Linked DNA regions of Notamacropus eugenii. The main gene of each other region encodes a partner of the protein of the gene in region 3 in a complex. Links are inferred from orthologs where the notes say so. Each region holds a gene or a part of one and is shown on either strand. Other genes may lie near its edges. The genes, in order: CWC15, PPIL2, CRNKL1 and PLRG1.

Evidence for each region.
Region 1: CRNKL1 (region 3) and CWC15 share a complex: the UniProt entries of both Homo sapiens proteins name them as parts of the minor spliceosome. The link is inferred for Notamacropus eugenii from reciprocal best matches to the Homo sapiens genes CRNKL1 and CWC15.
Region 2: CRNKL1 (region 3) and PPIL2 share a complex: the UniProt entries of both Homo sapiens proteins name them as parts of the minor spliceosome. The link is inferred for Notamacropus eugenii from reciprocal best matches to the Homo sapiens genes CRNKL1 and PPIL2.
Region 4: CRNKL1 (region 3) and PLRG1 share a complex: the UniProt entries of both Homo sapiens proteins name them as parts of the minor spliceosome. The link is inferred for Notamacropus eugenii from reciprocal best matches to the Homo sapiens genes CRNKL1 and PLRG1.

The regions. Positions count from the first base shown.
Region 1 is NC_092876.1:163,313,170-163,320,550, forward strand, and holds the start of CWC15 (spliceosome-associated protein CWC15 homolog), read left to right. Parts: upstream 1-4,372; 5' UTR 4,373-5,054; intron 5,055-5,975; 5' UTR 5,976-5,983; coding exon 5,984-6,114; intron 6,115-7,381. UniProt on the Homo sapiens protein: Involved in pre-mRNA splicing as component of the spliceosome. Component of the PRP19-CDC5L complex that forms an integral part of the spliceosome and is required for activating pre-mRNA splicing.
Region 2 is NC_092875.1:8,219,066-8,225,997, forward strand, and holds the start of PPIL2 (RING-type E3 ubiquitin-protein ligase PPIL2), read left to right. Parts: upstream 1-3,912; 5' UTR 3,913-5,491; coding exon 5,492-5,718; intron 5,719-5,804; coding exon 5,805-5,854; intron 5,855-6,585; coding exon 6,586-6,631; intron 6,632-6,932. Other genes in the region: SLC7A4 (cationic amino acid transporter 4), read left to right, coding at 1,029-1,137, 2,164-2,363. UniProt on the Homo sapiens protein: Has a ubiquitin-protein ligase activity acting as an E3 ubiquitin protein ligase or as an ubiquitin-ubiquitin ligase promoting elongation of ubiquitin chains on substrates.
Region 3 is NC_092872.1:595,317,732-595,325,127, reverse strand, and holds the start of CRNKL1 (crooked neck-like protein 1), read left to right. Parts: upstream 1-4,376; 5' UTR 4,377-4,511; coding exon 4,512-4,562; intron 4,563-6,097; coding exon 6,098-6,250; intron 6,251-7,396. Other genes in the region: CFAP61 (cilia- and flagella-associated protein 61), read right to left, coding at 1-92. UniProt on the Homo sapiens protein: Involved in pre-mRNA splicing process. As a component of the minor spliceosome, involved in the splicing of U12-type introns in pre-mRNAs.
Region 4 is NC_092877.1:153,068,653-153,075,862, reverse strand, and holds the start of PLRG1 (pleiotropic regulator 1), read left to right. Parts: upstream 1-4,189; 5' UTR 4,190-4,347; coding exon 4,348-4,356; intron 4,357-7,210. UniProt on the Homo sapiens protein: Involved in pre-mRNA splicing as component of the spliceosome. Component of the PRP19-CDC5L complex that forms an integral part of the spliceosome and is required for activating pre-mRNA splicing.

The DNA.
Region 1 (7,381 bases), on a different chromosome or scaffold from region 3:
GGTTTTACTTTGGGACTGACTGACTGGAAGTGTTTGTTTGGCCAGACAATGACTCTGGGAAGCCACTAAAGAGCCCACTGGCTTTGAAAACCCAGATGTCAGTGCTTCCCTCTCTGGTAACCATGGTCAGACAGCTGGACTTGTCTGTTGAATTATGGTCAGGCAGAGGAAGCCATGTCTATTGATCTTTGATTTCTCTGTATTTTCTTTTAAGTTCAGGGTGCTGACTCCCCTGAACTAGGTGAATAATATATATCCTTGGTTAAAGGAATGATACATGTGATTAAAGTGATTGTTAACCCCTCAAAAGTCACCTTTCTTTTTATAAATGCAGACCTAAGAACCTGTGATAGCAGGCCCCCTGTGTATGTTGGGGTGCTTACTGTTACAAATATGTAGATGGAAATTGTTATAAAGCCTTAAAAAAATCTAAAGTAGGTTTTGATCTGGTTCTCCAGGAGTATGTCACTGGGGAAGTAGTGAAGAGAAAAGGGGAGGCAGGAACAAGACAGGGTTCAGAGATAATGAAGTTTTAAGTCTACATGATTGAGAGGATGGTGTACAAAGATGAGTACTGATTCGTGGTGGTTGAACTCAAAGGGCAGATCTAACAACTGTGAATGGAAGTTACAAAGAGGCTGATTCTGACTTCATGTAAGGAAAAAGCTCTTTGAAATCAAAGCTGTCCAGGGTGGAATGGGCTGTCTCTGGAAGTGGTAGATTCACTGGCTTTGGAAATTCTTAATGCCAAAGCTGAATACCCACATTTTCAGGTACAACTTGGATAAGATTACCTTGAAACTGCCTGTCATTCCGAGTTTCGGTGATTTTTCTATTGTGTCAATTCAGCAAACATTTATTGTAGTACCTATTTGCAAAGCCCTGTGATAGGTTCTAGACATTCTATGGGTCTCTGCCTTCAACTTGCATATCAGGGACCCTGCCTATACATCTTTTCATACTAGCACCCACTATTTACATATACTAGTAAATCGAGAAATCTTTGTCCATTAAAAAATATATATATCATAAATAGACACTATTAATGGACAATGACCTTAGCTCAGAATTGAAGTGGAAGAATAGTGGAGTGAGCTAGATTTTTTTAGGGAAATGGCAAAGTTTCTTCCTGAGGGTGTGAAAAATGATTAACAACCAACATCTAGGGGAGATTCAGAGGCTCTCCCTTTTTTCTAAATTTCTCATTTTAAAAAATTCAGTTTTCTTGAAGGACATTACTGATAATGAGATTGCAATGACTCTCCTAGATCTTAATCAGACCCCACCCAATCTTGCAAGGAATTTAATCTAGGTTGGGGAAGTCCACCGTGTACTCCTCAGGCTTGGGGAAGGGGGTACAGATCCTTTTGTCTAGATAGCCCAAGGCTGCAGGTGGTCTGAGTAGAAATAGTCTTCTCTGTCCAAGGGTGATGTGATGATGGATGACATGAGCCCCTCATTGGAAGGGTAGATAAACTATGAGCCCCACTGCCATGGCTGTCTTTGGTCTAAGAGAGGCAGCCAAATGACCATCCTTTTATTAGTAACCTGCTGTTCTTAGTAATAACATGATTAAATTTCCCAGGAACTATGTCTCTTGAACATTTTTCAACATCACAAAAAGAAAAAAGGATCATATTTTATAGCATGAATATTCTTCTGGTAATGACATATGGCTGTGACACTACAGTCTTCAAAGAACTAAATTTAAGGATTAATCAAAGGGCAATGAAAAGGCACACAGCAGGGCAGGTATAGTGCTTGAGGAAGAGCACTAGATTTGAAGTCAGAGGACATGGGTATGTCACTGTACTCTCTGGACCTCAGTTTCCCCATCTAAAAAGTCAGGGGGTTGGACTCAGTAGTCTCTAAGATTCTTTTTCAGTTTTAAAATTACAATCATTACGAACATGTAATTATGTAGGGATAGTCTCCAAATCTGTGTAGGGAATTCCAGGCGAGGAAATTCCCTCTACCAAAGCAGTTGTTTCCTAATTAACAGACTTAAGATGGTTAGTTGCCTAACTCTTCCATGGTCATACGGCTAGAATATGCCAGAGGCAGGCCTTGAGCTGTCTTTTTGACTTTAATGATAATGATAGCTAACATTTATATAGCACTTACTATGTGCCAAGCCCTCTGCCAAGGGCTTTAAAATCATCATCTCATTTGATCTTCTTAACAACCCTGAGATGTAAGTGCTATTATCATCTCCATTTTGCAGGTAAAGAAACTGATGCAAAAAGAGGTGAAATGACTTTCCCAGGATCACACAAGTAGTCAGTGCTGGAAGCCAGACCTGAAGTCTGGTCTTCCTGACTCCAGGCCTAATTCAGTAACTCTTACAGATCCTTGACTCCACCATTGTTCCCCCTCCCCTCCATTTTCTCTGGCCTACCATCTCTGGTGCTGGAGCAGGAAGGGATCCCCCAGGATACCTGCCAGTGCTCAGGATGTCAGGGACGAAAGCCTACTTTCACATCTCCTCAGGATTTTTCTGACTGAATCCTACCAATCCTACCCTTTCAAAGATCCAATATGGAGATACGGCTCAAGTCCATAATAAGCTGACTCACTCAAATAATTCCTTAATCATTCCCTTAATAAAATGTGTCTAGGTCAACAAGTTATTCAAATGAAGATATCCTTCCTAATCAATGCTCCCAAGCTGTCAAGTCCCTAAGAGGAGTCTCCACATTCTAAAAAAGGAAATTCAATACCTATCAAGGACCCAAAATCAAAGTAAGGATAAACATGGTTAGAACCCATCTAGTTGAGCAGGTGCCCTTATTGGCCCTTTGCTGCATTCCTTTTCTCATTTACTTCACATTTTCTAGATTTCTGAGTTTTCATTCTCAACTTTTCCTTGTGTAACACTGAATAAGAATTAAGAAATTTCAAAGTTGGTGTACCACAGTAATGATAATATAGTTGGAATAAAAACGGTGTTAGAAGTGCTGAATTCTCATCTTTGCTAATTTCCTTATCTGTAGAGAAAGATGTCTAAGATTTTATCTTAGTTCACATTCTTTAACAAATGATTTCTAAATGTAGCAATATAAGAAATAAGAAATCTCATAAAACCAAGTGTAAAAAACACTGGGAATCTCTGGGTTCCTGATCACTTCTCCCTTCCAAAATGAGCACTGCTCAAGACATTGCTTAAACCACTAGCTTCTAGTCTTTTTGAAGTTGAAATATCCATGGATCCGTGACAAAAGCTACAGTTATCTGTCACTTTATGCCTGTGTAGGTACTCCTTCAACAGAAGCAGGTTCTACCAAAGGAACCTTCAAATTTTTGCTTAGAATGTCAATCCTAAGGAATTCTCTTTAGGCACATAGAGGTTGCATGATGTGCCCAGGCTTAAAAGCCAATGTGCCAGGGGCAGGACTTGCACCCAACTCTTTTTCATTCTTGTCTTTGAACTCTTCCACTACTCCAGGTTATCTCTAACCTTATTATCTGATTTGGGCTGGCAGGGGTGGGGAACATGTGGCCTCCAGGTCACATTTGACCCTCTAGGTCTTCAAGTGCAGCCCTTTGACTGAATCCAAACTTCCCAGAACAAATCCCCTTAATAAAAGGATTTGTTCCATAAAATTTGGACTCAGTCAAGGACCTAGAAGGCCACATGCTGCCTTGAGGCTGCAGGTTCCCCACCCCTGGATGGGAAACCCTGTGTCTGGTTGGGGAAATCTCTCCCCTAGTGCAAATCAACATCTCCTCTGCTGCTTTAAGCGTTGCTGGAGCATTGAGAGGGTTCGACAATGTGCCCCTTAAGTCACTATGTGTCAGAGTCAGGGTTTTTTGGCCTCACCGCCTGCTCCTCTGGTCCACTCCAGTGGTGTCAAACTGAAAAAAACGGGCAATACTAATCCACACGCAAAAACCCCTGCCACTATATATTGACTTAGCTTTAAAATGTAATTTTAACCGTTTTATTATATTTTTATTTTGTTCGCTCCTTCCCAATTACATAGTAATCTGGTTCTGGGAGTGTGGCAGACCCACAAGCAACCTGTGTCTGACACCTCTGTACTACACGGCCTCTTCTCTGATTTTTAAAAATTACTTATTATTAGATCAGTGCTCCGCGCTAAACGCGGGGATCTGTTTATGAATTCAGTTCTATTTACAGGGTAATGTATTTACAAGAGCGACACGAGGGACTCAAGAAACCTACGGCCCTGGGTATCTTCTCCCCCGGACTTGGGCAGCTCTCTCCCCTGCCCTTCAGGCATCCTCATCACAGCCCATTCCAAAGCCTCTCATCCGGCCGGGCTCTGGCCCTGGTCCGCGGACTTAAGGCAGATGGGGAGGCCAGGGGCAGGGGGCTTCTAGTTTCCCAGTCGTTGCCCGGATACCAAAGGGGCACCTAAGGGGTCAAGCAGTGACACACGACTCGCCCACCTCCTTTTCCGTCTCCCCAGAGACACCTTCGACGGCTCTCTCCTCGGGTTCAGGGAAGCTCTTTTGTTTGTCAAAAAAGTATCGGTCCGGCTGCATAGGGAGAAAACGGGCGGCCCAGGCCTGGGGAGCCGCGTCCCCCTCAGGCAGGCCAAGGGACTCATAGTCGACCCCTGGCGGCCACACGAGGGCGGCGCCGTCCACAAGTCATGGCTTCCTTCCGTCTGGCTCCGCGCAGGGCAAGGACAAAGAGAGCTGGGGCGAGGTGGAAGGGAAGAAGCCTTTGGAGAGAAGAGTGTGAGGAAGAAAGAGCCTAGCAAAGAACTGGATGAATGACTGTTGGCCAGCCGACCTACAGTTAACCGGAAAGGGCGGGCTCTGGCTTGCCTCTCCCGGGCGTCCTAGCGACTTCCGCTTCTATTCCCGCCCCGTCGGCGGCCTTTCTCCCCGACGATTGGCTGTTGGCTTTGGTCATATGACGCCTTCCGTTAAGCGCGTCTCCGCCACCTTGTTTTTCTTTTCCGGTAAAAGAGAGTCGAGTTGTTTTCAAACTCTATGCTCTTTGGGGGTCCCGGCGCGGAGAGTTGTGGGAAGGTGGAGGAGTAATGGTGCTGGCATAATATCGGAGGGCCGTGGGACCTGAAGTAAGTGATTCCAGAGACCTCTCTCTCTTTAGCTCACGGGGAAAAAAAGAGTTTTTTGGGGAGCAGTGGGGCTGGGAGATGTGGAGAGGCAGGAGAGCTGAAGGGAGAAGCCAAGCCGCACGGGTTCTAGGGCCCCGGGGTCGGGTGTGAAGGGAAGGCCCGGGCTCGGGATGCTGCTGGCGCTTTCGCCTTTGCTGTCCGTCCCCGGGTCTCCTCGGATTTCCGGTGGTACTTCCCCGAGTCTCCCTTTTGCATTAGTTACCGGGGGCCCTGCCGCCCTCACCCCCCATTACTGCGTAAGCCTCTTGAGGGCCGACTCTGGGGTATCTTCTTTTGTATTGTTGACGTCTGGAACATGGAGACCTTGGCTGGAAAGTTAGAATTTACAAAAGAAAACATAACCAATTCGTGCCACATCGTTATGAGCTGCATGCTCATTTGGGGCAATAAACTTTAAAAATAGAAAAAAACCCAAAAAGACCCTAGGTGCCCCACGGCCTTCTGGGCCACCGCAGGCCGTCCTGAGCCGTATCTGGCCCCTCGACCCAGAAGGTGAGGCCGGAGACCTTGCGCAGCCCTGCCTGCCTCCCTGAGTCTGATGGAGATGAGAAAGCCAGTACTACTTGCCAAGGCTTGTGGCCCTAAGAATGATCGCTTCCTCACCTTCCCAGGACTTGTAATTTGCTATGGTAGGTCATTGTTTGGGGGGCGAGGGTGTTCTCACAGTCTACGTGCCGTGGTGATGTTTATGGTCTTTCAATAAAGGTACAGATAGAAAAAGTTACAGAAAAGGGGATGGTGGTGATGCGTTCAGTTAAATGAATTTTGAAAGCTCTTTTGCATAGGATTTTAACTGTTTTTAAAACTAATAATTTTCTTAAGTATGGACATGTGACTGAATATAATTGTATATCCATGAAGCCTCGAAGATGACCACAGCGGCAAGGCCTACATTTGAACCTGCAAGAGGTGGAAGAGGGAAAGGGGAAGGGGATTTGAGTCAGCTTTCAAAGCAGTATTCAAGCAGAGATCTACCTTCTCATACGAAAATTAAATACAGGTAATAATGACTAAATGTTTCTTGTAGAGAGTTTTTCTTAAAAGGCAGAAGAAATTTTGTATGGGGTTCTGTAACGACCTCTTCTGGATAATAGGGTGTTGCTATATATGTCAGTTACCAGAGAATTAGCAATAAAATATGAACATTGACATAAATTTCATTCTTTAATGTATAATGAAAATTTTTTTTTAGTGTTGGGTACACAGGCACATAAACACAACTATGTCTGTGTCAACGCACAGACATGATGATCATAAAACTCTTCTGTGCCATGAGATTGTGTTTTTTATGGTCCTCATATCTAATTGAGATTAAGTTTTTCTTTCCTGCTAAACATGGCCTGACTTGACACTGTACGTAAATTCAAGCATATTTAATTAGTGTCCTTGCATTTAGTCCATCCTACCAGTAGTAGCAAGAACTTTTTTGATTTTGAACTTTATTTTCATCATTATACTCCTGATTACTTACTGATCAAAAATCAGACTCCAGGTATCCCAAGTACCTCACACATGCATTTAGACCTTGAAGTATTGTAATGGGTTTTTAAGCACCCATATGAATCTCTTACCTATAATGTCTTTGTGCTAATACCCTGGCTTGTAATTTGAGTTTCAGGCATTCAAATATATTCACTCCCCATCTCATATTACTTGCTTTACCCTTTTCTATACTCTACAATAAAAAAATAATCATTACTGTCTAAACTCCATAAATGAGATGAATAAGATAATAGTCATTTAAATACAATGAGTGTATGCCAAGAAAAGCTAGATTCAGATTGAATCCAGAGGTCAAGTATAAAGGTGACACCTACTAATGCTTTAGTTTTCTCAAAGCAAGATGTGTTGAGCATAAAAGATAATCAAGGAGACAGATGTGACCATGTTGAGACTTGCTGGAATCATGAAATTAAAGTAGAATCAGAATAATACATTAAGAGCAATTAATACCTACTCAGTGCCAGTCTTAATATACACTTCTGGAACTTCGAAATGGTCGTAACAGGTTTGAAAAGTATCCTAACACATCCTCTACAATGTTAATGAAACATAGGATCCATCACTGTAAGGTAGCTATAGAAAGAGATTCATGCTGCCTCTCCAAGAAGGACAGAGATTGATAAACATTCTTAAAGCACATAATAATCAAGTCTAAAAGCTACAGAAATATTTTTAGACCAAGCAGACATTACTTCACTGGGCACTATAGTCAATGCCATTAGTTTTGTTCAGTAAAACTGAAAATGGATAACCTCTAGAGGGAT
Region 2 (6,932 bases), on a different chromosome or scaffold from region 3:
GGGGAATAAGGTAAAAGACCGGAAACATGGGAAGGCATCAAAGCCATGGTGAGTAGGGGTGACATGCTTGGACCTGCACTTTAGGAAAATGACTTTCGTAACTGAGTGGAGGGTGGATTGGAACGGGAGAGACTCAAGGCAGGCAGACCTCCCCTTCCCCACACCCATCCCTAATAGCTATTGCTACAGTCCTGGTGTGATGTGATGAGGGTCTGCTCCAAGGTTGGGGAAGTGTCAGAGGAGAGAAGGAGGTTATATGCAAGAGATGTTGCAAAGGTGGAATGGACATCAGATGCTGTACAGTTGAAACTGATCAGAGATGTTGCAATGGTGAAATGAACAAGAGATGCTGCAGAGGTGAAATTGACAGGCCTTTAAACCAGCTTGAATGTATGTGGGGGGGTTCAAGCTAGTGAGGGATCCAGGATGACCCCTGGTTTAAGAGCCTGAGGGATTGGGAGGAGGACTTGACTGCAAAGGTTTTTCATTCTTTCATTCCAAAGGAGCACTCACACATTTATGCACAATGTCTAACACATAGTATGCACTGAATATCTACTTGTTGGCTGACTAAATGACTACCTCAGCACATATACTGACTCCTCCACCTGGGTGCAAATCCTTCCCACACTCACCTCTGGGACCCCTAGAATCCCCTTTAGGACACACTTGCCCACTCCCACACCGACCAAGTCCCCTCTTGGCACCTGGGGTTCTTAGCTTAGCTGCTCGAGCTTCTATTTGACTGTATATTTCTAAACAAAATTGATTTCAGAGCCAATGATGATTCTCCTCATTCTTGGTGGAGGTTGGAAGGGTTGAGATGGAAGAAGAGAGGGAATAAGGAGCCAGTGTAGATGAAGGAGAGAGATTTTGGTTATGCTCACAACCCTGGTACTGTTGTGACCACACCTGAGCCTCTGGGAGGGGGGTGAGCTGAGCAGATCACACCCCTACCTGCCCAGTTCCCCTCTCCCACTCTTTCCCCACTACTCTGTGCTTCAACCTTGCCCTCCACTGTCTCCTAGATCCCTTGGGTGCCTCTGATTCCAGCCCTGAGCATCCTTCTGAATATCTGTCTCATGATGAAATTGAGCTATATGACCTGGCTGCGTTTTGCTATCTGGTTACTGGCAGGTGAGTGTCCAAGTGAGCTCTGGCTTCTCATTCTCAGGGGCTGATAGGGTCTCTCCAGGGCTGGGAACCACTGTCATCTCCACACACCACTGCCTTTCAATGCAGCAGACATCTACCGAGGGCCAGGTGCTTTGTGAACCCTGGAGATCAATGTCCCCTGCTCTCAAGGGGCTTCTAGTTTATATTCTGTTCCTGCCCTGAGGAGGGGACTTTATCCCTTTCAAATAAACTATGACCATTTTACCATCTGATTGGGGCTCGCTTTGAGGGCTCAGGTTGGGGAGGAGGAGACAGCTGAGAGTGGAAGCTTTCTGTGCCTCTTCTCAGTCTATCTTGTCTGGTCTGGCTGGACTCTCCCTTCCTGACCCCAGGCTCCTAAGCAGAATCAGAAGTCCCCGGTTCCCTGGGACCTTAAAGGAGAGAGAATCTAAACCTGGGCAGGGGAATGTGACCAGGTTGTTTGTGGCAGTCTGGCAACCTCTTCTCACAATAATGTTTTTAAATGCACAAAATAAAATACACAGGATTACAAAGGAAACACAATTTTAAAATAGTTGTCAAAATATTTTTTAAAAAGAGTTCTTAATCCCAGGTTAAGGATCTGGGTCTTAACCCAGCATCCCTGACTAGGAAGAGGTCATGTGACCCCTGTAGGAAGACCAGAAGTCGTGGGGATCTTGTGATGTCTGGGGCAGCCCCGTTCTCATTTGGACACTTTCACCGTTAGATAATGTCTCAATATATGAAGCCCTGTGACTCCTTTACCAATGGGAAGGTTCTACTTTCTAGAACTAAACAGAACAGACTGAACACCTCTTTCTGAACAGCTCCGTCAGGTTGTTGTACACTGTGGTATTTCTGTTTGATGTCAGGAAAAGCTTACGATTAGAATGGGCTGCCTTAAATGGTAGCTTCCTATGCCTACAGATGTTTTGGCAGAGGCTGGGTAACCTCTTGTATGCTTTCCTCTCAGATGGGCACAGGCCTCCTGGGCAGCCTAACCTTTCTTTCCCCTAACCCCCACAGGGCTTGGCGTCTACTTTGGCTATGGAATCAGACACAGCAAGGAGAATGTGAAGGACGCTCAGGGTTCAGGCAGCACCCGATATGTGGTATTCCCCAGTGGAAGCCTTGAGGAGACTGTGGAAACAGTGCAGCCCCCTGGCCAAGCCAGCTCAGGACCTCCTCCCAGCGCTGACAGTCCTAGCCCGGGGAGCAGCGGCTGATGCCCAGCAAACTGTTCAGAAGGGTCCTCACTACCAGGGGCTGGCAGGCCTGGCTTCTCCTCCCCCACCCCTTATGGCTCTCTTCCAGCACCCTTGGAGCCTCCCTCTGAGGAGGAAGGAAGCATATTGTGAGAGCAATCTCCCCCACCCACCTTCCCTGCCTTCCTCCTGTTGGCCTGACCCTGAGGCCCCTACAACCAGCCACTCTGGAAGTGGCCCATAGATGTCTGTCTGGGGGTGGGGCATGGGGGCAGAGGGCTGGGGGAAGCACCCATGGGGAGCCCTTGCTTCTAGTGAGTCATGTCCAAGGGCCCGGAGGGTTAGGAGAAGTTTGGAGAGCTTGGAGGCATCTGGAAAGAGTGATGACTGATTATAAGCAATTATACATTTTTTCTTTGCTGGTGCTGTGTATGCCATTGAGACAGCTGGTACGGTGAAGAATGTTAATACCGATACCAACAACCCACACAGAACTTTCTGTCTTTGTTCTCAACAGAGGGGGCGGTGGGGCCCAGGAAAGGGAAGAGCCAGCTCTGATGGGGACGGATCTGCTCATGGTTTGTCTCCAAGGACCTGGGGTCTCTCTCCCCAGCTATCTTGAGGGGTGATCTAAGCAGTCTCTCCTCAGTCCATCCATGAATAAGCACCTACTGTGCCAGGTACCCTGTCTCAGTCACGGCACACCCAGCGATGAAACGTGGTCTGTTTGCTTCTGAGGGAGCCGATCTCTCCCTTTGCTGTGGGGATGAGTCAGAAGGGCTCCCTCCATGTGGCTGGGCTCAGGGCTCCCACGGGCCTTCACACCCTTCGGAGCTAGGGACACCTGGGCTCCCTGAGCAGCATAGCCCACAGTCAGTCAATGAGGCAGATTGGAAAGGGCCTTCTTTGTGCCCAGTCCTGGACTAAGCACCTGGATCCTGAGAAAGGCCAAAAAAAACCCAGTCCCTGCCCTCAAGGGACCCATATTCTAATGGGGTGGACTTAGATAACTAGGGTGTGCAAGCTATATACAGAGTATTGTATGCGGTATCCATGCATGGGTATGGCCCTGGATCAGGAAGGCTTGGTACAGAAGGCAGAAGAGGTGGGTCAGCACCTCGTTCGAGTTATCAAGTTTCACCTCTGGTAAGCCTCAGTTTCCTCCTCTGAAATGGGTTAACGATCCTCTCCATCCTTCCTTTTCTGGGTTGTAGATAGTGGGGAGGCCTGGGCCTCTAGGCCTGCTTCTCAGATTCCATCTCTGACCTTTCTGCTGACCGTGGGCTTCACGTCTCTGTAGAGCTGCCTGGTGGATGTTTTGTGCGGGATATCGAGCCTTAAACATAACTCGTCTTCCTGCCCAAACCCTCTCCTCTTCCTAACAGTCTTAGTGCAGTCGAGAGCCTCCAGGCTCCGAGCCCAGGTGTCAGCCTCAGCACCTCACTTCCCCTCATCCTCTGCAGCCAATCAGAAGCCGAGTTCGCAATGTTTCTGGTACACGCCCCCTTCTCTCCGAAGCTGCCCCGCCCTGATGCAAGCCCACATCCCCTCCTGCCAGTGCCAGCTGCTGGGCTCTCCCCACTCCAGTGTACCCCACTCAGCTGTCAAACTGATCTTCCTAAGGCAGGCCTGACCATGTCACCCTCCCCCACTCAATCATCCCTAGAGACTCCCTCTCCTCTCCAGGGTGGAACAGAAGACTCCGCTTATACCCCTGCATCCGCTCCCTGGCTCCTGAGGCTTCCTTCAAGTCCAGAGTAAAAGCTCACCTGGCAGAAGAAACCCTTCCCAATTCCCTTCTACTGACCATTTCTAATTCATACGTATTTTTATGTCGCTTTACACATAGCAAGCTTGCATGTTGTGTGTGTGAGAGAGAGAGGGAGGGATGGGGAACCAATTACACACACACAAAGATGGTGAAGAGTGCGTTTAGACTCCGGGCTGTCCAGGGCACGAGCTAAAGAACATTCTGTCCTCTCCTACCCCACGCTCTCAAGGAGGCACACGTTGCAGGGAGGTGACTTCCCATTTCTGGAGCCCCTGACTCCCGTCCCTCCTCCCATAACAGACCACCTTTGCCTCCATTAATGCTCCCAGAGTTAAGAACTGTCCTCTCCTGCCCCAGTTAAGGTGCCCTTTCTTTTGGGACTCCTTGAGGCACTAGCTTATTCTCTGGCTCCAGAATTCCGACCTTTGCATCCAGAATGAGCCAAACATCGGGGAAGGGGAAGGGAAGGAAGCTTTACAGGGATCCCTGGGGGTCCCTGACAATAAGGAGGCATCACCGCAGTCCCGGAAGTAGTACTAGCCTTTCTTACAAACTAAGGTTCAGCCACAGATCCAGACTGGCCCATGACCCTGACCCCAGATTTATCACCATAGGGGAAAGGCTGGGTTGCACCTTCGCCTCCCTGAACCTCAAAGTTCTCATCTGTAAATTAAGGCAGCAGCTCTCAAAGTGTAGCCTGGGGGTCCCTGAGACCCTTTCTGGGATTCTTCCAAAACTATTTTCTTACAACACCAAGCTGTTTTCGTTTCTGTTATGGCCGATGATCAACATATACAACCCACGTAAAACCTTGCCCCAGGAGGTGTGGCTCTAACTGTGAGGCCCAGGGCGCAGCCGGAGGGATGGTGCCTGAGTGGCCTCCCAGACCGTAAGGCGGAGGGGTGACGTCATCCGTCCTCCTCCCTTTCCTTTGTGCTGGAGCTCATCCACTGCTTGGGGCTCCCACCTGCGTCCTCAGCCCTCCTTGGCCTTTCCCCTGCAGGGCCGCTTAATGTGGTTGTTTAATTGAATCTGATGGATCCTGCTGCCTGGGAACTAACGGGGGGCTGGTGTGGATTAAAGGGTTTCCCTCTCTGGACCTCAGAACCCTCATTTATCAAACAAGGGGGCTGGAGATGAGGACCTGCGTTCGAATGCCTGCATTTGCCACCTAGAACCTGCGCGTCCTTGGACAAACGTGCCTCAGCTTCCCCATCTGTAAAACGAGGGGGTTGTACGAGATGGGTCCCTATGAGCTCCAAGGTCCTTTCCTGGGCGAATCTCCAGATCGCGGGGGCGATTTTCGGGGGTCCCACGGCCCTCTGTCATTTTAGGGTACTCTCCATACGGGACCTCGCCTCGCTGACTTTCCCCGCACATGCTCCGTGACGGCGGGCCCCCGCCCCACCCGCGGGACTACATTTCCCGGCACACCACAGACTTCCGGAAGACTCACCGGAAGTTCCGGAGGCACCCCGGAAGTGGGCTGCGCGGGCGGCCCGCCGGCTGTCTGGGAGGGCCTGAGCTCGGGGGCGCCCGGGTGGCAGACCCCGGCCCCGACCCCGCCGCCGCCATGGGGAAGCGGCAGCACCAGAAGGATAAGATGTGAGGGCCGGCGCTCCGCGGGGGGCGGGGGGCGGGGGGCGGGGCCGCCCTCCGCGGCGTGGCGTGACGCTCGCCTCCCTTTTCAGGTACATCACCTGCGCCGAGTACACGCACTTCTACGGGGGCAAGAAGCCGGGTGAGTACCCGCCGCCGGCCCGACCCCGGGGACCCCGGGCGGGGGGAGCATCTTCTCACCGTTGTCTCAATCGTGTTCCTCGAGCGCCCCCCCCAGCTCTGCCTTGTTTAGCCCCCGCGACGCCTCATCTCCCGCCTCTGCGCCTTTGCACGGCTGCCCCCGTTGCCTGGGGTGCTTCTCCTTACAGCTGCCCCAGAATCCCCCTCCTCTCTCTGCAGAAAGTCTGTCCTGGCCCCCCGGCTGCCGCCCCCCCCCCAAACGGGCCTTATAGACCTACCCCTTGTCTCCTGAAGAAGCGTCCGCGCTTGGAGGGCAGGGAGCGTTCCGCTCCTGGCACACAGTTGGTGCTTAATAAGTGCTCGCTGGGGGGCCCACGAGGAGGAAGGGGCTGCAGCAGGACGTGAAAGTGGGTGCCCAGGACGGCGCAGGGCACGGCCAGGGCTCCAGGGAGGCCCTTGGACTCGGGCTCCTTCCGGCCTGGGTGGCAGGGCCTTGGCGTTACAAGGGTCCGGGGGCGTCCAGGGTGACCCCTGGAATGCTGGGGCTGGCTGGTGAGCAGCCTGAAGCCGAGGTGGGGCCTGGGCCAGGGTTCCGAGAGAGCGGGGCCGGGAGATGGGCGCTGCTGCCCCTCCTCCGCCAGGGCACTGGAATTGGGGGTGCCCGTAGGAGCCCCCTGGCGGCCTTGCTTCCAGAGCCAGCTGTGACGCCGGCCCCCGCTTCGTTTCACACAGATCTCCCACAGGCGAACTTCCGGCGCCTGCCGTTTGACCACTGCAGGTAAGAGCTTCCCTGCCCCCCGTGGGCTGTTGGATGAGCCCGTGTGAGCGGCTTTTGGCTCCAGGCCACTCCACGGAGGACCGTGGTCCCAGCCACCGACACTCGGGGGTTCAGGCTGGCCCTCGGGGGCTCAGAGGCTGCGGGGAGGGAGGGAGGGTGGTAACACGGCGAATGGCACTCACTGAGAAAGCCCTGGCTCTGTGGCAGGCGCTGGGCTGAATGCTGGGGACACAGGCACAAGGGAGCCCTTCCCTGCCCTCTGGCAGCTCTCCTCTTCATGGGGGGCCAGGGAGACCCCTCC
Region 3 (7,396 bases):
ATGAGAGTCTTAATACAGTAAATATCTTGTGATTCTGTTCTTCTGCAATGGACAAATTCTTCCCTGCCTCTTGGAGAAGTCAATGATGTCATTTTATGCCCTTTCACGAAAAGAGAAAACACTCCATTATAAATCTGAAATGATTAGCTGTCTCGCTTACAGTACTTATAATATTAAATACTAATTCGGTTTCCAAAATGACAAAGTGAATACAATATTTTCCACATAAGTCTAGCTGATTTTCCCTGGGGGTACATTGTATCAGCTGTCACCACAAACTACGAGACACATTTCTCGATCGGCTCATACAGTTTCTGAGAATTGGTCTGTCTAGAAAGCGCCACAACTGTATTCTTTGTTGCCAGTAAAACTTCTCCCAAATGTTATAGAGCAGTTGTTGAAAGGGACTGAAATGAAATATTTACTGGTTCAGTATATTTAATTTACCACAATTGTATGTATCCAAGTATTAGGAGGGAAATTCACTGCTGCTTCCAGTTTATAAAAAAGGAAAGAAAACCAGTGATTGATTTTGCCTTGGGATAACTTTGTTTAAACAATATTATGTCTATTTAGATTTACATTTAGATAAAAAAAATCATAGCTATTTCTGTCAAACCCAAAGTGAAAAAGTCTTTTAAAATGCTGATAGCAATAATGGTAACTTTTTATTTATCAATTATCTTTCTGAGATTATCCAATTTGTCTCTCCCGCTCTCTCTGTATATATGCATACACATATATATACACACATATAATATACATACATACATACACACACATATATGAATTTAGGAAAATGTTCTGAATTTGAGAACTGGAAGGGTCTTCAGAAGCCATTTAGTTCACTTTGTAGCTGAACAAAAATCCCTTGAACAACAAATCCAAAATGATTATTTTTGTTTCAAACCTCTACTTTCCAAGACAGTCTAATCCACTTCAGGATAGTTCTAATTGTTATAGCAGAAATTAAGATGAACTGAGGTGTGAAATTCTGAGCATAATCAAATAGCTAGATAGGCTAGCAGTAACCAATAAGTTGGAGCAATGGTCTCACTTGATGATCAAAAACCTTGAGTGAGGTTTGACAGGGTTTTTCATAACAATTCGCATGATGACAGGGTAAAATCTGGAGCAACATAGGTGTGGTCTTTTGACTGGGTATGGATGACATACATCATTTGAACCTCACCTTCTGAAAACCCCTTAACCACAGCCAAGATATGTGATTTGAGTCACTATGACAAAGGTTCTCAGGTAATGGTAACAGATCTTCCAAGGACAGGATAAGTGTGTAGGTGATAGGAGCTTCTTTAACAGTTTAAATTGACAAGATTTGAGCTTTTAGGTTGAGTTTCTCTGAAAAGTGGGTGATGGGTGAGTTTACAAGGGAAAGGAATCTCAAAGGGGAATATTAAATCTAGCTTGATCAATTCTTAGCAAAAATAGAATTAAAATCAATTTTCAATTTTGCCCAAAAGAAAATGCAGGATTCCAATTAATAATGTTAGCACTTATAAAGGCCCCTTAAGGTTTACAAAGCATTTTATAAATATTATCACACTTGATCCTCACAACAACCCTATAAGGTAGGTACTATTGCCATCTCCATTTTACAGATGAAGAAACTGAGGCAAACAGAGCTTAGGAGACTTGTCTAGGTTCACACAGCTAGTATGTGACTGAGGTCAAATTTAAATTCATATCTTATGGATCCAAGTCTTGAACTTGCCATCTAGCTGCCCAAATATGATGTGATTGGAGTCCATACTATAGTTATATCAATTCCCTTACTAGAAAGTTTTTCCTTACTTCAACCCCAAATTTGCCTCTCTGTAACTTCCTAGTTCTTGCTCTCTATGGCCTAGAGAATGATGAGTCTGATTCCAGTATTTGGAAGAGGGTCATCATCCCACTCCTTTGTCTTTTCTTTTCCAAGTGAAACATTCCAAGTCCTTTGATTAGCATATCATGATCTGGAAACCCTTTGGCATCCCATTCATCCACCTCTGTTCATTCTCTAGTTTACCAATGCCCTCCCTAAAAAGAGACATGAAGAAAAAAACATAAGAATCTAAATAAGTTACGGACAGAGTACAGCAGGGCTGACACCCTCCTTGTTCTGGACATTATACGTCTCCATATGACCTAAGATGGCATCATCTTTTTTTGGCTGCTGGTCACATTGAGCTCACACTCCACTAAAACATCAAGACCATCCCAAGACATACTACTGTTATCTAGCTATGTCCCCTCAGGAACATTTATTGTATTGGAGGCTTATTAATATTTACACAAACAAATGGATGGAATGGAAAGAATACTAACAACTAGGTGGATCAAGAAAGGCTTCCCCTTAGGAGGCAACACATCAAGGGAAACTTGAAGGTATCTAAGAACCCTCCAAGGGAGAAAATGCTTTCCTGGCAGAGGAGAGCCTATAAAGGCATGGAGGTGGAGATGGAGTTCCAGGAAAAGGAAAATCAAGAAAGTTAATTTGACTAGAATGTAGAGTGGATGAAGAGGAATAATAACATGTTTCACTATTAGATTCGATAGCTGTTATTCTACTATCTGATACTTTTCCATGATGAAAGATGAGGTTCAGAGTGACAGTCCAACACTCATCTCTGAAGTTATGCCCTACTTCCACCACTAGGGGGCATGTGAATGAAATGTCAGGCTCTTCATGGAAACCAGTAAATTGGAAACCTCTGTCCCCTAATTCCACCCTTTTCTTAGTTGGCAGTGCTTATGCCGCTGGTAATTCTTTACATATCTAAAATACAGTTTATCTATGCATAAAATGGGCACAACAAAGGTGCTTTTAATACTGGCTAAGTCAAATACATGTGTGTATGTGTGTGTGTGCGCGCATATGTATAGGCAAGTATTGGCTAACCAGAAAGGGTTAATAGATGAATGAAATACAAATTATCCCAATCCACCAATTTAAATTTAATCAATTTCAATTTCTTTTCCCAGTAACTTACACTATCAGTCAACCATGAAGCATTTATTAAGCACTTACTAAGAGGTGGCATAGTGCTAAGTGGCAACTAAGTATCCCAATGAATAGAGTGCTGCTCCTGGAGTCAGGAAGACTCGTCAGACACTAGCCATGTAACCCTGGGCAAGTCACAACCTTGTTTGCCTCAGTTTCCTCATCTGTTAAATAAGCTGGAGAAGGAAATGGAAAACCACCGCAGTAACTTTGTCAAGAAAAGCTCCCAAAAGGGGTCACAGAGTTGGACATGACTGAAAGACTGAAACAACAATTGTTGTAGAGCCCTGATGCCAAAAAATGAACTTCACTATAACCGCATTATACCATGTTTGTTGGAATATATTCCATCTGCCTCAACGACCAAAGGCATAGCTGTATACTTTTAATGGGGGAAAACTCTACTTTTAAAATAACTGATAAGGTTTTTAAAACTTTTAAAGTATTATTAGTTATTTTTCGGAACAACGGATAGAGTGCTGGACCTGGAGTCTGGAAAGCCTGAATTCAAATTCTGCCTCAGACACTTACCAGTGTAACTCTGGCAAGTCACTTAACTAACCTCCCTTGCCTCAGTTTCCTCAACTGTAAAATGTGGATAACAGCACCTGATTCACAGGATGGAGCAGCTGGAGGCAATTAGGAGGTATCAGACAATGGAGGGCTTGGGTGGGAAGCAAGGCGGGGCAATCTAGAGTTAACAGCCAATGGAAGGCCAGGCTAGGCCAAGGGCAACAGATTTGAGTAGGAAAGGCCAGGTTAAGTGGGAAGATTCAAGGAGGTTCCCAGAGTCTGAACCCCATCAGCTGTGAGGGCCAAATGAGGCAAATTTGTAAAGCGCTTAGCACAGTGCAGGAGGCGCTATATAAATGTTTATTCGTTTTCCTCTATTTTCCTAAATTCTCCGTGCTAGAACCCGGTACTCTCCTCCTTCTCAGGTCAAAACAGAAGCGGCTCTAAGAGACTGAGACTACAAGACCCAGGAAGCAACACGGCCAATCTCGAGATAACGTGTTTCCACAGTGGTGTTGCTTTGCCTTCTGGGAGTGGTAGTCTGTGCTTTTTCCCCTCCCCCGAAGTCTACCGGGCACTGTTCCATGTTTCAGCGCAAGGCGCCTTTGCTTGGAACACCTGTAAAGCTTCTCCCTGACGCCCAAATCCCTTGGCCCTAAGCCACTTAAAGCAAACCACAGTTAGAATACCCTGTGAACCCCTCCGCTACACACAGATGAACCCTTCTTAATTGGACTCACCCCAGCTACAGCACTCTCCGGGCTAACTCGGGAACAGACGCCGAAGGCCGGTTACTATAGAAACAGCGTCCCTCCCGTCACGCGACGGTAAGGGTGAAGGGTCACGCCTCGATAACGACAGTTCCGCTTCCGGTTCCGGCTTGGAGTTGTTGTCCGGGGCTTCTTGAACTGGCTGGAGACGCTTGGGGGCCGTTTCCTGGAGATTGAAGGATCGGAGAGGGCTCTGCAAGGCTCGCGGACCCACTCTCGAAAACATGGCAGCTTCTACCGCGGCCGGAAAGCAGCGGATCCCCAAAGTGGCCAAGGTAGGGGTGGGGCCGTGGGGCCGCCGAAGGGGGCGGGAAGAAGGAAGGGCTGTTGTCGGTGTCTCTTAGCCCCTGTGCCCGTGGGGAGAGGAAAAGCAAGCTCCCTGGGGGCGTGAGACCGTTTTTCCCGGGATCCGGGAAGGGAATGGGAAGAAAGCACGTATGACTGGGAATCCTCCGGAGGCAGCGTGCCCCCCGCGGCCCGGGGGCTCGACGATGTGGGCAGTCATTTTAGAGTCATACCGTGTCTGTAGGAAGCACCTGTTCATTGAGCCTCAGTGTATGTCGATATTAGCACATAATGTGTTCATCATGGCTTGTAAGCACAAAGAACTTTCTGACGAAAGAAGCTCCTAAAGCCCAGTGCTTGCGACCCCGCACTTAGGCAAGGACTGACTTACTGAGGCTTTACTGGTTTGCCATGTGTGTAAATCCCACCCAGTGGGTTCTTTGGCATCAGCAGCCCCACTTTTATCAAGTAATACTCTTCTGGGGGGAGTCAGCATATAAACATTGCGAAATACATGATGGCCTTTGGGCTCTAAAATCTATTTCCATTATACTCAATAGATACTTTCTCTGTAGTACGAAGTCTGTTTTCAACCCTTTAAAATCACAAATACAGTCACTTGAAGCAGCTTTTAGGTCTAAAACATTACAAGAGATGATTCAAACCCTTTTTCCATGTGTTTCTCTTGCCAACTGTGAAACTACACAGAACGTTTGCAACCAAACCAAAACGTTGTTCCCCATACTCATCTTCTTAACAAGAAAACCAGTTAGGTTCCATTTAAAGTGATCTTATTCTCCTCCCCCAAACTCAGTGTATAACTACCATCTTGGTGTTAAAAGTATTCAGTTGTAATTTCCTATTTAATCAGGCTTATCTTCCAAATATATTTGCTTCCAGCTTATAGTTTCCAAAGTGTGACGTATTGTTCTGTTATTTCATCCTCACAATGGAAGTAGTGTGGATATTATCTTCCCTTTACAGCTAAGGGAAATAGGGTCAGAGGTCCTGCTCAAGGTCACACAGTAAGTGGCAGAGGTGGTATGTGAACTCACATCTTCTGGTTCCTGTTTTAAATATGGCTTTAGACATAAGCGTATGTTTCAGACCATTTAATTCATTTATGACTTTAAGGGGAATAAGAAAAAGAATTCTGTAAACAAGGTTTCTTTATTAACATGACTAAAATATGATACATATTTTTAAAAGAAATTAAAACATCATATCAAAATTACATTCAAAGTATTTCCTCCAAGATCCAAATTTATTTTTATGCTAAGCCACAAGTATATACTGCTCTTCATTTTATTGCTAACTCTCCCTTAAGACAAAACTAAGCTACAAGCAGTAAAGCATTGTGTATAATTTCATAAAGAAGTCAAACATAATCTGCTGAATAGAGTATCTTGTAATATGGTCCAGAAATTTATGTATACATACGCACATATAACAGTTACAGATATAGTTGTTATTTGAAAGTTTGTAAAAGTGCAGATACCAAAGATAAATCTATTTCATTTTTAAGGTGAAAAACAAAGCCCCTGCTGAAGTACAGATCACAGCAGAACAGCTTTTGAGGGAAGCTAAAGAAAGAGAGCTTGAGCTTCTGCCACCACCTCCTCAACAGAAGATCACAGATGAAGAAGAATTAAATGATTATAAACTAAGGAAAAGAAAGGTAAGTAAAAAGTAGACTTCAGCCCTTTCAGGGGAGTGCTGTGAACCATAAAGCTGGTTGGCTGAGAGCTTGTTTAGAGAGGCTAACATGGATATTATTAATAGCTGACATATAAGATTTACAAACTGCTTGCCTCACAAAACTTCTGTGGAATGGGTAGTACAAGAGAAGGGAGAAGGGGACAAGCATTTATGAAGAGCCAGCTGTGTGCCAGGTTCTTTACCAAGCACTTTCCAAATATTATCTCATTTGATCTTCACAGCAACCCTGGGAAAGAGGTGCTCTTATTCTCCCCATTTTTCAGTTGTGAAAATTTAGAGATTAAGTGACTTACCCAGGGTTACATGGCTAGTAACTGTCCGAAGTGAAATTTGAATTCAGATCTTCCTGACTGTAGACCCAGCACTCAAAGCCCTGCGCTGCCTAGCTCCCATTTTACCAATTTTACCAATTATCCCCATTTTACTAATAAAGGAACTGAGGCTCTGCAACCTTAAGTGATTTAATCAAGACTGCATAGCTAAGACTGACCTTGATGTTTTCTGTCAGTAATGAATTCCTGTAGTCCATGGCCTCTTGGGACGTTCATTTTGTCACTATTAATTAATCATTAGCCAGTTAGATTTTGCCTAAAGAGGTAAAATCTTCTTTTTTCTTCTGTTTTTCAACCAGAATCAATCCACTGAAGGAATGACAGCATAATGATAATTTTTTAAAATGTTCAGGCTCTAAACAAGATTGGTAGCAGGGAGAAGACATCCCAATTAGAATGAAATACTCAACAAGAGGCTCTGCATATTTTGCCTCCTTTATATGCACCAGCAGTTTGTTTGGTCTGATTTTACTAAATGATAAAGTTTTATGTAATTTCTTCCTTATTTTGAATGTTTTTGCTAATGTTATTTTTATGATAATTTTTGAACAAATAATTACTAAACTGTATGCCAAGTTAAATCTGCTTAGATTACAATACATAAAGCATTAAGATTTTTAACACACTATTCATTATTGGATATATTCTGCTGTTTTTCTCCTTTGTCATCCCGATGGAATTTGGCATCATAAGGATATGTTCAAAGTACCTATCTCATTTCACAGATAGGTTCCTTCAAATTCAGGTTTTAGAATGTGATTTCTATGAATTAA
Region 4 (7,210 bases), on a different chromosome or scaffold from region 3:
TCCTGTGAGTTCAGTGGTGCAAGCATTAATATTCTTGTTTACTGATGATGAAGCTGAGCCTCAGATGGGTGGGCACTTGCACACAATCACACAGCTAGCAAATTTCTAACTAGTATCACAACCTGGATTGGAGAATTCCAGGCATGGGGGAGAGTCAGTGAAAATACCTGGCGTTTAGAGATGGAATGTTTTGGTAAAGGAACAAACAACAAGGAAGCCAGTGCACTGGACTATACATTGTATGGAGGGGAGCAGGATATAAGAAGACTGGAAAGGTATTAGGAAGTGAGTTTATGAAATGTTTCAAGCCAAAAAATTTGTGTCATAGGCCCAGTTTGATACCCACTAAATGTGTGACTTTGGCCATGAGTTTCCTTCTATGTTGAAAAAAAAGTGGGTAGGTGGGTGAGGCAGAATTGGACATCAAGGAACAATAGTTGGATGAGGGCAGATCCATACTGAGCACCAAGAAGGTAAAGTCCTGGATCCCTAAGGAGATGAAGATAGTAGCTCAAACTCCATCTTCTACCAGAGGTCTTTTCTAGCCTCCACCCTCCAACGTAAGTACTTCCCCTTAGAGACTACCTTCCCTACACTGTCAATCAGTACTGTGTATAAAGTTCTATGCACGTTGTCTCCATCAGAATGGAGACTTCTTGAAGGCAGAAATTGCCATTTTTTACTCCCAGGACATGGCACAATTCCTGGCATGTAGGAAAGGCTTAATGAATGATTATTGAGCCACAGAGGGATCTATGAGTGTGTTGGAGCATAGCTGAATCTTGAAGAATGTGGCAGTCCCTCAGAATGATAAGGTCAAAATGTCTTTGGTTTCTGTTTATTCAAGGGGCACAGGTTTTCTTGCTGATTTTCCATTTCCATCTCTACCCCACTTCTTGCTGCCTGCATTGGGTCACTCTTATCGATTTTCCTCCTTCCTTTCTCTTTCCCTCCTTTCTCTTACGGTTTATAAACAGAAAAAGGAGCTATGAGGATCTAAAATTCCCTAGAAGGATACACAAAAACAATACTAAAAAAGTTCCACCCTGTATCTGAAAAATTATTAAAACAAAAGAAATGCACCTCAGTGAATGGAGTATTTGCAGACACAGAAGAAGCAGATGGTCATTATGCCACTTATAGATTCTCCATGATGTCTTGTTCCTACTTATTGCCTTTCCATCAAGATAGCTAAGAAGGCAGGAAAAGACAGAAGGCCTTAGGAGAGAGCAGCATACAGGTGTGCAAATGAGATAGAAACAAAGGGGGGAAAGGGAATGAATCAAGGGAACATATGACTACAAGATAGTTATTCAACCAAATGCCTCTGCTAAATCAAATCTCAATATTTCAAAGATCTATGATTTTATCTGCATATTCCTACTATCAATGTAGTTTGCAAACTATTAAAAAAAGCAGAAAACAACCGAACAAAAAAGCATCATCCAGTGGACAAACATATGATCAATTTCTCTCAACGTGACCAGGTTGGTTCTAAGTTGACAAACGTAGTTCACCTCTGATCTGCAGTAGAAGCTTTATTAGTCTGGTATCTGTCAGTGCTTGTGCTCCACTGGCATGGATTCTGAGAAACTCGCAAAAACTCCATGCCGGAGGCAAAGCAGGCATCCTATAGGTAAATGGAAAGGAAAGGGGTCTATGGAAAAGTGGCTGGGAGATGGAAGTGGGGATGGGGTTTTTGGAAACACTAACAGGTATCAAGGAAAATGTATTATAGCAGAATTCAGAGGAATTGAACACCTTTGGCCAAATTAGGGCCAACCTCCCCCCCTCCCCCCCTTCCCACCTTAGGAAGAAAGAATACTGAATACAGAAGCGAGATGAGCTATATACTGTTAGTTCAAGACAGATTCTCACACCAGGAGCTGGATTGGTCCGTTTTCCATTAGGTCACCACCTTCTCTACATGCCCATTATGTAACCACCCTTTGTGTGATCACCACTCCCAAACATGTTTTAACGTAAGACCCATGACCAGAAAATGGAGGGATAATTCTATGCCAGGTGCGTCTGCTTAGATACATTGTGGCCAAGGGCCTGCGGTCCCCACGTGGCTTGGTGACAGTGGTGAAGAAGAAAGACACATGGGCAGGTGGGAGTAGACAGGGCAACTCCGTTTATTGATCTGAGGGTCAGATATATAGAGAGAAACTGCATGTCTATGTGCTCATCTCCAGTCCTAGTGATTTGGCCAGTCTTATTGTCTTTAAAGACCGTTAGTCTAGAAGGCATCTATTTTATATATCCCTTGTATTCTGTAGTTCTCTTGTCTCACAGAGACATCAATATCTGGCTGGCATGGAGAGCCATTCCAGTCTCAAAGAACAGTTTCCCCAAGGCCCATCCTGAACTAGTCAACTGCACTCCATCCTGGCCCTCAACAATACATGAGATTCATTAAGCAAGCACAGTGAAGAAAAGTTTTCTCCAGCTTATTCTAGGTCATTTTCCTTGACTGGTTCTGGCCAGTTTCAGGCCTGGACCTGCTTATCAAAAAATTTATGACTTTTTAAAGACCACCTTTTTGCATGTCCTGACTGGTTGAGTCCACCTGCACTCTGCTGGCTTTCTTATTATCTGATTTATTCTCCATGACTTCATCAACTAGTAACTGTGGAAATTTCACTTTTGGCTGTCTCTCATAGGGTTCTTGCTAACTTGCTGGGTCATAAGATTTACAGATCTACATCTCCATCTGGCAGTCAGTACCTCTCCTATCCTCAAACTTTTTAGTGATCATATATGAGCTCTGAGGCCCTTTCCTCATCTAAATCCATCAACCACTGTTGAACCCCGTTTTTGTCAGAAACTGGGGTCCAGAGAAATGAAACTATGTCAGTGGTCACTTAGTGATAATGTTTAATATAAAATTTTGTAATAATCTCTTTGTTCTCTCTGAAGCAAACTCAGAGAATGTCTCTTCTTATGTCAACAAAAGCCAGCCAGGGCTGACTTAACATTCCTTAAGAGACCTTTAACCTAAGACACTATCTTGAATAACGGGATGGTTTCCATATCTTAGTATTTGTAGACATATACTATGTTATGGCATGTTAACAGTAAAGAAAACACAGACATCTTGGGTCGTAATTTCTACCTGAAACTTTGTCAAACTCTGTTATCTTATTGTATTTACAACCTATGCAATTAAGAAATTCCTTTCTAATGGTCTAGTGAATCACTTATGGAGACCATAAATCTGAAGAAAGCAGAACACTTCTTTGTCCTAAAGCAGATGTAAGGCTGCTTAATTCGGTAGTCAGAACATTTCTGGCTCCATAATGCATTGTGTTACCATTGTCTTTAATAGGGAATTGATCAATGAATAAATTAAATCATAAAATGCTTGCATTTAGCCTGTTGCCTTTACTATAACCAAGTTTTCAGGTCAACATCAGGAAATAAGGAGAAGAGCTGGGGCCTGGATCCGGCTGCCTTGTCCTATCTCCCCTTTAATTTCTCATATAACACAGGGTCCTAACTTTCTCAAGCCTAGGGATTTGCAATCCTGTTAGAAATCATTTAGTCCAATCCCCAAATTTTAAGGAAAAAAAAAGAAACTCAGGCACAGAAGGAGAAAAAGGTCTCTTCCCCTGCGGCACTGGGGGGAACCAGGTATCCCCCTCCTGCAGCTCCAGGCCCGGGGGTCCCCCGCCTGCGGCTCCAGGCCGGGGGTCCTCCACCTGTGGCTCCAGGCCCGGGGGTCCCCGCCTGCGGCTCCGGGGCTACCCCACGACACAGTTCATCTGCCCTGCACAAAGGGCCAGACTGAGACAAACGCCATCTCCTCCCTTCCTTGTCTCAGGCTAAGATGAAGGTCTAGCTATGAAGGAACATGACAGCCATCACACAAGTGGGGAAACCAGGCTAAGTGCCCTGCCCATGCCCACAGGGCAGTAAGTCCTGAGGATCAGACACGTGGAGGTGAAAGGGAGCCAACCCCTCATTTTACAGATTAGGAAACTGAGGCTCGGAGAGAAACAGAATTCGGGGCTAGGATTTCCCGCCCGCAAGCCAAGCGGTCTATCCAGGACACGCTATTGGCTCTACGGAAAAAGCAGAGCTCATCCGGTACAGCCACCACCAAGGTTGCGGCTTCCTCCAACGGTGGGACGGAGACAGTTCTGGAAGCTAAACCCCATCGTCCTTTTCGAGCCCGCGCAGGCGCAACAGCTACCATCCAATGGGCATGCGCCCCCTTGCGTCACATCCGGCGCCGGCGCCTCCGGACTCCGGAAGCAGCCGCGTCGCGGTGGCGGCGGGAGCTCTGTCTGGATTTCGGTTTCTCCTTTCTCCGTTCGCGGGGCGGGCGACGTGGTCGGCGTCATGGTGGAGGTGAGTGACGGGTGCGCGTGAGGGCGAGCCGCCGGCCTCTGGGCGCGCGAGGCTGCGGCCGGCCGTTTGTCCGCCGCCGGGGCTGGCTCGGGCTCTGCGGGAGCGGCGGTTTGATGAAAGCGAGAGGAGGCCGCGACCCGGCCCCGGCCCCGCCCCCCGCGCGAGTGGAGGAGTGGGCGTGCGCGGCCCCGCGAGACCCCCGAGCTCCGGGCCCGAGCCCGCGGGGCTGCTTCTCGGCCGGGCAGCGACCCCAGCAGCGCCTTCCCGGCCTCCCGCCTCCAACCCCCCCCCCCTTCCTCCTCCCGCTCTGCCCCTTGGCCCGCCTGCCGGTGGGCATGGTGAGTGGCGTCCGCCGTGGTGGTGCCACCGAAATGCCATGGCATCGCTGCGTTATGCCTTCAGCGTGAAGCAGTGCAGACCTCCCCCGCCCCGTCCTGTGGGGGCCTTCCTGGCGCCTGCTGCGTGGGCATGAGAGGGGCATTGGGGAGGCGGCTGGGAAGGGGGCTGGAGCCAGGAGAACCCCTATGGAGCAGGGCCGTGGTTGGGACCGCAGTGCAGAGCCCCCCGCCAGATCACCGTTCCTTCTCGATACCCCGTTTTTTGGGCTGCGCCTTAAGCAGCTGCTAGTGAATGTGCGGGTGTGGGGCCGGGCGGGCTTGGAACGGAACCTCGTGAAGTGGCCTGGAGAGTGTGATGGCTTACGTCACATCTGCCAAGTGGGGTCGGTTCTGGCACCGTGTGGTGTCGGGTGAAACTTTCATCGTACACTTCATCGTGTTCATACGCTTTAAACTTACGAGCCGCATCTCACGGAGCTCTCCACACTCTGTGATATTTAGAATTTGTTATTGTAAGCCCCGTTAAAATTGAATTTTTAAAGATTAAATCTCTGTCTACAGTTTCATCAGGTAAAACCTTTCCTCACTGCATGTGATAAATGATAATCTGTAACAGCGCAGTAAATGTAATATGGTTTACAGTATTTAAATGCAAGAGGAAAATTCACAGTTGCAAGTTACTTGTTAGAAATTTGGGGTTCGGTTCTATCAGTAACACTTTTCTGCCATTTCTTGGAGTTGTTCCATTATCAGTCGTTACTTCCGCATGAGCTTTGCAGTTTAAAATGATTGCCTTCTCATTTTGTCTTTGACACTTGTCATTGACTACAAAGTCTGTATTTTTGTAAATACACCTGACAGTTGGGATGCTATTTGTTATTAACTGCCAAGACTGTATTTTCGTAAAGGAACAATAAATTTTCAAGGAATTTGCTATTTCCCCTAAAGTTAGACTGAGACAAAATTTAGACGTTTTACAGTATTTGTGAAGCTAATTTGCAATCAGATGTAAATTCTAAGAAAACTAATTAGCTTCAGAGATTGTAAGCAGAGCTATACCAGTTCAGTTTAAAGGACGTTAAACGCCTGCATTAACCCCATGTGAAGGAAATTGCTTTAACCTAAAGGCTACATCAGTGGTATGGAAAGGAAACAGTGATGTGAACAATTCAGAACACTGTTCAGAGGCTACTCTTAGCAGAACACTGGTGAATATGACATGGATTAGGACTTGGGTCCATTTGTATAAGCAGGCTAATCCAGTGACCAGATGGCTCTGGAGAAGCCAGGCTGGTGACCTACACAGCCCTCCCTCACTCAAAACAAAGTCAGTCATGTCATCATTTCTCTGGTGGCATGGTCTTCTTCGGCCACAAAAGACAAACACAGTCCTGTGAGTAGATGCAGCTGGCTGAATGGGTAACTCAGCTCCTCCTCTCCTCTCTGCCTCCCCCTCCCCTTTCTTCTTTCCAAAGGACTGTAAATTTGGATGGCCAAAAGATGCCCGGTGGTCTTGGGTTTTACTGGTCCCTTTCCTTCCTTTCCTTTGCCTTCCATTCCCTTCCCTTTCTCCTGTTCTGTGCTGACCTATCCTCTCCCAAAACCCTAAACCTACACAAATTGGGAGTGCAATGGGCCCCTGCCTAAGGGCTCCTCTTGACCCTCCTAGCTTTACAGTGATTATCGATAGTAACTGTTACTGGTTCCCACCCAGCCTGATGTCTTTGTTTTTCTTGACCTCGTTAAGGGGGCCATGCCTTGTCTTCTTAAATGGCCTGTTCAATGAATGGGCGTTGCCTCACCCTAAGTGGGTACCTGCATAGACCTTGACCTAAAGGGGCCAAGGTCTCCCAGTGCATCCTGAGTCATCTCCAGTCATCCTGATGAATACCTGGTCCCTGGATTCAGATGGCTCTGGAGGAGAAGTGAGGCTGGTGACCCGCCCAGCCCTCCCTCACTCAAAACAAAGTCAAGTGACAGTCATGTTATCATTTCTCTGATGGCATTGTCTTGTTCGGCAACGAAGGACGAACACAATAAGCAGGTTAACTTTGTTCAGTGTAGTTTTCCATTGTTGCTTTTTGCTTTTAGAATATTAGTGCCTCAAATAAAACTTAGCATTTACATAGATGGCTCTTTAATGTTTGCAAAACTTTTTACATTATCACAATAACCCTGTAAGGCAGATGCATGTGTTTATACTCATTTTAGCAGTGAGGAAACTGAGGAAACCCCCAACCTCACCCAGGTATTAAAGAATTTGAGGTAGGATTGGAATTCAGGAATTACTGACTTTCCATTCTAACACTTAGCTTCCTCTCTGATGCTAATTCCTGCTTATTACAGGCAGCTTAGAAAATCCTTTTTCACCCTATTGATGCATTTTTCTCATTTCCTTAGCCTATCTCCAGTTTGGATTTTGGTAGAGAAATAAATATTACACTTTATATGTTCAATTGATAAGACTTTAATCAGACTATATGAAGCTGTATAACTGAAGCAACATTATAACACTA